2 linked regions of the Caenorhabditis elegans genome follow. The protein of the gene in region 2 interacts with the protein of the main gene of each other region in a pairwise test. Each region holds a gene or a part of one and is shown on either strand. Other genes may lie near its edges.

Region 1 (5,404 bases), on a different chromosome or scaffold from region 2:
GGTTGTGGACATGTGCGTCAAGAGACGTTTCATTTCATTCGGATTTTCTCGCATTTCGGCTTCTTCCGGCGGTGTAGTCATCACTTCGAAATCGTCTTCTTTGCATTTTAACATACTGCGTACGATGTTAATTTTTGATGAAAACGAAATAATCAAAAACTGATTTATTTTTTTCCAATCGTCAATATTTTTTCGTTTTGAAGTTCTTAGTTGGAATGTCACGGAATGAAATAGTGTGGCAGTAAAAATAATATTAGTTTCAAAACAATTCCCTTGCGTATTATTTATTGTCAGGAAAAAATATACATCATGAATCTTTTCCCATTCTTGTTGCCTTGGAGATTTCATTATTTTGTCGTCTTTTTTGGACTTCAATTTTATATTCTTGTTCCAGTACATTACATGTTTATATTCATAATGTGAGAACTTTTAAGCTTCATTGTGTTAAGCTGTAGTTTCAGAACTTTTTATACTTTCGCTTTTTGAAGCTTTCGGCAACCTTTGCCGGGACTGAACTTTCCAAAAACTCATAGAATCCTATAAAGTGTTTTTTTATTCTAAAACACTGGCACTGGTAATTAACTTAAGTATTCAAAACATTAGTTTCATTTTTTCTAAAATTTCTAGAAGCCCAGTATTGTGAATAAACTAAAGTGCCCTCAAAACGTATCATACTATTACAAAATTGATATTTCCGATAAGTGCTCAGAACTCTTTAAAAAATAATATTTGTCGAGTCCCCAGTAAACTATTAATATTTTATAAGTTGGGAACAACAAAGAAGGAAATGTAGAATCAGATTTTCATTGTCAAATAAATATCATTTTTGAATGACCAAAACTCAAAGCTTGTTTCAGATTTTTCAATATTTTCAGTTTTGGCAAATTTCCAAATTTTTAAATACTTCGGAATTCTTGCAAATTTTTGAGCTCTTCTTTGATCAAAAGTAGGATTATTGGTCGACTTTCAAAATTATGATAGGCGAAGCAATATTGTAACTTGTTATTTTGTTACTTTCCCTATTATGATTATTTTCCCCTGTGTTTGCCAAATTTTCCAAAAAAGTAAATTTTTAAGAAATTTCAAACGGTAAACCCCTACAACATTTGAATACAAAAAAATAAAACTCGTAGATTTTTTTTTGCCGACTTCTAGTTCTTCACTAATTTGTGACTATACATAAAAAATTTCAGTTTTTTTTGGTGTTACTATGGTATTGGGACATTTTTGCACTATAAGCATGGTTTCATGATATTTTCTTACTGACGATTTTAATTGTAGTACTATAAAAATTTGTCGTGCCCTTCCGAATCTTGTATTCATCCGGTGCCCAAAAATCGCTAAACTTCAAACGATAGAAACAATGAATAGATATTGAAAAAAAGAAACACCTGGTGCAACCCTCTTTTACATAAATCTAATCCATCTATTTTTCTCAGAAAAATGGCGCCACGCCATTTAATGACCCCGTCATTTTATGGGGTGGCGCGACAGAAAGGCGCCGCACTTCTACCTATTCTCCGGTCATACATATATCCATTTTGGCGCAACTTTTCCGTTCAGATCATTAGTATCATTAGGCGGACAAGTTGTCAAAAAGAACATTAAGTGAATGATGAGATAGTTAAGAGAGATAGTGTACTGATAGAAGAGGCCGTAGATTGAAATATTGTACGAAACGGAGAGGAAACTCGGCAAACAGTCTTTTCATCTCTACCTCTGTCTTTACTCGTTCTATTTTCATGTTTTTCGCAACTGACTTCATTAACAATATATTTTAATCAATTTATTTGCAAATTTCAGATTTAATGAACATCACCTTTATATTTATTCTCATTTTCGGATTTTTCAATACTCAAAAATGCTCAAAAGACTATGATCACTTTGACGATGAAGACTTAGCGTTGAGCATTCCAAAAAATGCAATAGGAGTTCCAAAGGAGTTCAGGTACATGAGTTTTTATATTTTATCAAAAATTCAGTTTTTCTTATCAGGCAACAAGTTTTAAAAGAGATGAAGCTTCGGAACAGACCCAATGATATTTTGAAAAATCGATGTTATTGCAATTATGATCAGTCGATATGTGGAAATAATATGACATGTGTGAAACAAGATGGAGCTGCTTGTTATCATGCCGTTGAAGAGGTAAAATTAACTTGTAGCTCTTGAAAGTTTCCGTTTTATTTTTTGGAATATTTTTACACCATGGAGGTTAGCAACATATGATCTAGGCGTTACCAGTTTTTTAATGAATGGATTTTTCTCATTTCTTGAAACTGACAAATTATAATAATTTTTTTTTTTTGAAAAATCGATGTTATTGCAATTATGATTATTTTCAAAATTATAAAAATAAATTTTAGGTTTATAACAAAGCTGAAAAACGAATGGAAACTCTTCATAAATGGGGATGTGCAACACTGGAAAGAGGAAGTGGAGCTTCACATTTGACGGTGTTTCATCGAGTTTTTTGAAATATTTCACCAGGTGTTTTTCAGTGTAATTCTTGGAGAGCAGCTCACCATTCTCCTAAAAGTATTGGTTGTTGCTATGAAGGTAACTATTGCAATAAGAATTTGATTCCGCCGGCATATGTTCATCATCACAAGGGTGAGTTTTTTTTTAATTTAAATTTTTTAACAGGGACTATTCAGAGAAAGCACTTCAAGAGAAAACTGACAATCCAGAAGACTATGATTCTCCACTGGAAAACATGACACGTGGAGGAAAAATGTTCATAATGGTATTTGCAACAGTCATGTCGGTTTTTGCAGTCATTGGATGTATTTATTTATGTATTACAAGAGCAGGTGAGACAGTTTTTAAATTACTAAATTGATATTTTGTTTCAGAAGAAAAATCTAAAGCCAGAGCCAGAGCCAAGACGGTGTCTCTGAAAACAGAATCAACATACATGGAGAGCAAATCAATGCTCGAAGACTCAGGGTTCGTTTTTATTTCCTAGAGTATTTGCGATATAGAGATATCATACCCATTATTTTGAAAGTGATGTTTTTAACAAATACAATTTTCAGAAGTGGTTCTGGGCAGGCTGCGTTGATCCAAAGGACAGTGAGACAAGATTTAACAATTATTAAAACAATTGGACAGGGAAGGTAAAATTAATTCTTATTTTAATCTTTGTTGCCTATATTTTTTAGATATGGAGAAGTTCGCAAAGCTCTGTATCGTGGAAGTTACGTGGCTGTAAAAACATTCTACACAACTGATGAAGATTCATGGAAAAATGAAAGAGATGTATATCAAACTAACATGATCAATCATGAAAATATCCTTCGTAAGCTATTTCAGTAAAATTACTTTGAATTTCAAGAATTGTTTCAGAATTCGTGGCGGCTGATATTTGGAGTGAGGAAGATTCAATGACAAAGATGCTTCTTATCACTGATTATCATGAACTGGGATCTTTATCAGATTATCTTTGCCGTGAAGAAACATTGACAACAGATGAAGCTCTTCGACTTATTCACAGTTGTATATGTGGTATTGAACATCTACATGCAGCTGTACACGGAACTGGAAGCTTTAGAAAACCTGAAATTGCACATCGAGATATTAAATCAAAGAATATTATAGTCAAACGACCAAATGTGTGTTGTATCGCTGATTTGGGTTTGGCACTACGATAGTGAGTTATTTCAAATGATGCATCTGAAAACCAAAGATTTAGTTGTTCTGAAATTTAGAAAGAATAATGTTTTCAGTCAAAACGACAAAATTCTCCCTGAAAAATTCAATGTTCAAGTTGGAACAAAACGATATATGGCTCCAGAACTGATATCAAACAAGTTGAATCCAAAAGATTTTTCTCAGTTCAAGATGGCAGATATCTACTCAATGGCACTTGTTATGTGGGAAGTTGCAATCAGGGTTGAGGTATGATTATTCAATGAGTTTAAAATAAAGGCCATGATTGTAGGTAAACACCTGTGAGGAAGTGTTAACTGTCGATGAGACCTCTCCTGATCACAGTGCATCAAGTGGTATCGGAGAGTCAGTTAGTTCATCTGGTAATATATCGAGAATGCATCTACAAAAAACAAATGTAGAAGGACATTCTACATCTCTGAAAGCAAAACAACATGTCCCACCATTCGATGGAATCGTGCACAATGATCCCAATTTTGACGAGATGAACGATGTAATTTGTGTACGTCGAATACGTCCACCACCGGATCTTGCCTGGAAAAACGTCCCAGCACTTAATGAATTGAGCAAGTTGATGGAAGACAGTTGGCATTCAATTCCACACTTCCGACATTCTGCTCTTAAATTGAAAAAAGAAATGGCTGAGTTGATCAAAAACCCCGACAGACAGGTAATTCAACACGTTAAGGAGCTATATCTAACTCTATGTTTTCAGAATCAATCGCAGCGTAAAGTTGAATTCCAACAGCAAGACAGTGGCCTTGTTGAGTCAGCCACCAATCAATCTTAACCCACTTTCTGATCTTACTTTCGTTGTACCAAAATTTTTGGCTTCTTTAAAATCAATTTTACTTTTTCAGTTTTGTTCATATTTCCACAACGGTCAAAATTTAAAGCGATCTCTCTAATAATTTCCCATCAATTTTTTAATTGTGCAACTCTTATGAACTTGTTCTCATCTCGATTTACTGCAATTTTTGTGAATAAACATTGTTCCAGACCTGTACGTTCGTGTTGTAATTATGCGACATTATTGTCCATCATTGCCTAATATTTCCTTGATAGATTGCCGATAAGACAAATTCTTAACTTGCGCTCCCTGTGGCAGAAGACGGAGCAAACAAAATTATCAGCTCAACCATGTTTAAATGTACGTTTATTATCTCTCTATCTGAATCTATCTGGATTGGTGTGCACTGCATTTGTGAGCAAATATAGGCATACTTGTACGTGGTTTGATAAGATAATACTGCACCGTTAGACAACTCTTTTGGGTGAAACAAAAGGGAGACAACTGCAAGTTGCATCAGTTGGAACAATGAAACATTAATTCGTTAAAACACAAAGCACATCTGATATCATTTTCACAATTTATTTCGTTTATCACATATTTTAGAAGATCATCCTTTTGTAAAGTTAAAAGTGGATTCATGATATTTTAATTTTGACAAATCTCGACTAGAAAATTTTTAAGGATATCAAATATTTCAAGAAATTTCTGCACTGCAAGTTACGGCAAAATGTCCATCTGTCTGGATTTATTTTGTAGGTGAATCACTTGACTGTAGAAATCGAATATGATGCATGCAACTAAGTCTTTATTTCACAAAGCTTTTTAAAGTATTTTTTCAATTGTAAATTTGATAAATTCAATTTTAACTTCGCACACAAACCAGAAAGATCGGCAAATCAGCGAGATTTATCACGGTGTTTGCAAATCGTTGAATAACCATC
Region 2 (3,980 bases):
TTAAATTTTTTTACAGAAGGGGAAATCTTACTTTTTCTGGAACAAGAGCAACAAAAACATCGAAGAATTCTTTATTCTCTTCTATTTGAATAGAATGATCCTGCTCGAGGTGCTCAAAAGATCTTAATCCGATGAACTGAGTTGTCCATGTAAAATCCAATGGAGCCACCACTTCTTTCTTCGTCATATTTACTTCCAACTCATTCATTAGAGTTTTAACATCATTTCTCAGATCTTCCGATGTTATCACAAAAATAACACGAATTGGTACAGTTATTGATTGATTTGATGGAAATGTGGGAAAGTTTGAACGATATGTTGAAGTTGTAAAATGCCACATTGGCATACCGATGAAAAATACAAGAATAACAAAAGATAATGATGCAGCTAACTTATACGGGCGTTCCGAGTGTACATAATTGATAAATGATTGTGTTATTTCTCCATATTCTTCCGTTTCCGTTTGTCTTCCCAGTAAAAAGTCTAGAGCTTTTTGCTTGAAACTCTTCGAACTTTCCTGTGGCATTTCTTCATCTTCCGTCATTCTGTGAAATTTTAGTTTTAGATTTGAAATTTATGATTTCATTTGGACTTTTGAGTATATATATATTTTTAAAGCCACTGCAAATAACAGAAAACATGTTTAAAACTTCGAAACGGATCCGGACGGATAAAATATGAAAATTTCATTGGAATCTCACAAAGTTTGAAAATACCAGTAAAAACATGGGGTTTTGGGAAAAAGAAACAAAGAAGGCAAAAGTTGAGGAAGTTGTGACAAACCAAATGGTTTCTTTTAGAGAATCGAACGTATATTTTGCAAAGTGGATGAATTTTTTGTGACCGGCATAGGCTGTGGTAAGTCGAAAGAAAGCTGCGTAGAAGTGAATACATTGGAAGGTAGAGAATATTTCGTTGATTAATTGATTATTTGATTGATTAATGGGTATAATACCATTTTGCCCGTTGAGCGAGTATGTCCGATTTGAGATTTTGAGCGAAACAGATACCGAGAACCTGAAATTAAATACTAATAATCAATTTTTCATTCGAATTTAATACCTGGATTATTGCAATAATAACCATCGAAACGGCTACTAATAGCATGTTATTATTAAGCCAAAGTTGAAGTTTCGGCAGACATCCTTCCGTATAAATCGATGCAGTGTGGGCCATCACACGTTGAGCCGCAAGATGTGCTGCCATGTGGCTTTCTGGTTTTAAACGAACACCGTGCCCGCAGAAGTAGTTCTTGAATTCCAGTTTACTACTGTTGATACAACAGGAAAATGGAACTCCGCCAGCTTCTGGAGAGGCCACTTCTCTGGCTTCTATTGAAAAATAGGTGTTTCTATCCCAATCGTCGGCTCCGTTGATTCCACAACACATCCACGTCTCTTGCATAGAATCAATCAATAGCTGAAGATCCGGATCATCTCTATATCCAACTACCACATCGTTCAATAGATTTCTAATATAGTTATCAAGTTGATCTCTGCAAGCATATGCGAATACTCCTGCTGAGAATTCGGCGATGAGCAAAAGGCCAAGAAGTGTTGAATAGAATGTAAGGAAGGATGTATTCTCTCGTAGTGATCCAACACATCCACTGAAACCAATGATAAATGTGAGAAATCCAACGATGAGAAGTGGCCACGTCGGATCGAGATACAGTTTCGATGCTTTACTCAGCATATTTACAAAGGTGTTCTTCTCAATTTGTGCCCAAACTCCGAACAAGAGCAGACCAAATCCTGAAATTTCATATTATTTTTTTTCTGAAGATCAATTTTTAAATAAATGTTTCGAAAATTTTTGAGCATTTTAAGATTATATTTGAAAAAACAAACCTAGCAAAAAGAAGATTACATTGAAACTGAAAACCGAATATTTAACACAACAACTGATTTCCGATTCACCACCAGCGCCGGGGGCATAACGAATTTGCTGAAACTCGATAATTGTTTTTGAAAAAAAAATTCTAAATTTTTTCAACTAACCGATTGTCTATATACCCTCTGCTGTGCTCTGTGTTGCACCGGCTGTCGTCGATTGGCCATCTGATGGGTGAGAAGTGGCCGATGATGTTCTGGCCGACGAGCAATCTTGCTGGGAAAATTTAAATTTAATTAAAATAAAATACATGAGGTCAGAGTTTAAAAAGATACATAATATAATCCTTTCTGGAAACCGGACAGGTAGAGAAAAAGTGACCAGTGAGTCACATAAAGTGTCAATAAAGACAAGAAGAGTGTGCAAACAAATTTTCCAGGAAAGAAATGTTCCCCTTCAGCTTCCTCTTTTTCTTTTCAATAGTCTATACTACGAGAAAGATTGGAAAACCAAAGAGACGGAGGAAACGTAATACGTTATCTTGTTACTAGCCTCCTTCTCTTCGTTTTTCACTGTGTGGTCTGGCAGGCTTGCAACGAATGATTTCAATTGCCGCCTTCATCCATTAGTTCATTGAATTCGATGGAGATATTAAAAGAGAACGGAAAAACGAAAAGTATCAGACTAGTATCTTACAACGATCAATAATTCAAATATTTTTGCCAACCAGTGGGTATTTTTGAACAAAGCGACGGGAGGTAACATGAAGGTGTAATTATATAAAGGGAAGCAAAAATATGTCCTTGAGTTGGAGAACTGGCGAGAAACGGATCGGTAATGGGATTAATTTTTCAGAAATACTTCAAAATTCAAAACAATGTAAAATGAAGCATTTGCAATTATTTGTTAGAAAGCATGCATGCAAATGCAACCAAATTGCAGAATTTGAATTGTTGTGAAAAAAACTGGGCAGACTTCAAGAAAAATAAAAAAGCTTCTTTGTTCTCACATCAAGTCTCCAGGGAGCCCTGATTCTACTCTGATAAATGGTGGCGTAAAACTGCTCGAAACATGGTCCCAGTCATTGGGAATGCAAGAAAGCTTCTAAATTATTCACAAGTTCTGTGAATTTGAAATACATTTGCACTTTGCAGTGAATAATTTTGAAAATACCAAGTTTTGGGGATACTTAATAAATATAAAGTACACAAAAGAAACAGTTAAACTTATGAAATCACATGCCCGGCCGTGGCCGCATTCATTTAATAAATGGAGGGAAATTCAATGAGAAATACGGTGGACAACGAGTGTTTACGGACTGAACAACACATTTGACGACAAGTTGCAGACAGACACGTTGCAGCGATAGAAGAAAAGTCTGGTTTTCAATTTTACGTATTTTCCCTAATATTTTATTTATATTATTAGCTGAAAAATGTTTTATAAATAAGGGTTCAAATTTTTGAGGTGATTAATCACGCAGTAAATGTTTCAAATGTTAAATTTACATTGTAAACCTCGCGACCAACTGTGTATGTATGACTTTCCAAATAACTTCGCAACTGTTCGTCCGTCAATATAATATCACTTTAAATCTTCCAAATAACAGTTATTCGATTCAGATTGACTCACTTTGAACTAATCTCCATCATTTATGCACAGTTGAAAATTTTCAGAAGCTGAAAGTTTGAAAAATAACACGTAAAAATGAGTGCCCCAAAAACTAAAGGAGGTAATTTTGAGACGTCGTGATTGTGATTTATTATTTTGTAATTTCTTTGTGCTTGTAGTCGCTCCTTGATTGTGCATGACTTTTCTCTCGCTTCTCAATAGAACACGTTGGTTTTTCTCATTATTCGATTAATCAGTAGCAAAACAGTGTATCCTCGAAAAATCATAAATGTTGGGTTCCTAATTTTTGCCATCAGAATTCGAAGTCGGCCGAATGATTTTGAGTTACTCCGTTATACATTCTTCGCGCCACAAAAAATGTAATGGTTTTATTTTCCAGGTCAATCTTCAAGAATGAAGACCAACAAGAAGGATGAGGAAACCGGGGGAAACGTCTATGCTCACCTCGATAAGACCTCCGTTCTTCAGGAAGCTCGCGCCTTCAACGAGACACCGATCAACGCGAGGAAATGTTG

The links.
Region 1: the proteins of tsp-12 (region 2) and sma-6 interact in a two-hybrid assay, tested with the Caenorhabditis elegans proteins (one study listed by BioGRID).

The regions. Positions count from the first base shown.
Region 1 is NC_003280.10:6,322,681-6,328,084, forward strand, and holds sma-6 (Serine/threonine-protein kinase receptor sma-6), read left to right. Parts: upstream 1-1,803; 5' UTR 1,804-1,808; coding exon 1,809-1,948; intron 1,949-1,995; coding exon 1,996-2,146; intron 2,147-2,364; coding exon 2,365-2,454; intron 2,455-2,499; coding exon 2,500-2,611; intron 2,612-2,655; coding exon 2,656-2,811; intron 2,812-2,853; coding exon 2,854-2,947; intron 2,948-3,036; coding exon 3,037-3,117; intron 3,118-3,162; coding exon 3,163-3,299; intron 3,300-3,346; coding exon 3,347-3,650; intron 3,651-3,726; coding exon 3,727-3,898; intron 3,899-3,941; coding exon 3,942-4,340; intron 4,341-4,385; coding exon 4,386-4,460; 3' UTR 4,461-4,675; downstream 4,676-5,404. Other genes in the region: C32D5.4 (uncharacterized protein), read right to left, coding at 1-399.
Region 2 is NC_003282.8:10,148,494-10,152,473, forward strand, and holds tsp-12 (Tetraspanin-12), read right to left. Parts: upstream 2,110-3,980; 5' UTR 2,061-2,109; coding exon 2,001-2,060; intron 1,948-2,000; coding exon 1,851-1,947; intron 1,755-1,850; coding exon 1,063-1,754; intron 1,018-1,062; coding exon 940-1,017; 3' UTR 673-939; downstream 1-672. Other genes in the region: pigs-1 (GPI transamidase component PIG-S), read right to left, coding at 32-544; copg-1 (Coatomer subunit gamma), read left to right, coding at 3,541-3,565, 3,845-3,980. UniProt on the Caenorhabditis elegans protein: Functions redundantly with tsp-14 isoform a to regulate body size, embryonic and vulva development. Functions redundantly with tsp-14 (isoforms a and b) to regulate cell fate specification in the postembryonic mesodermal M lineage and male development.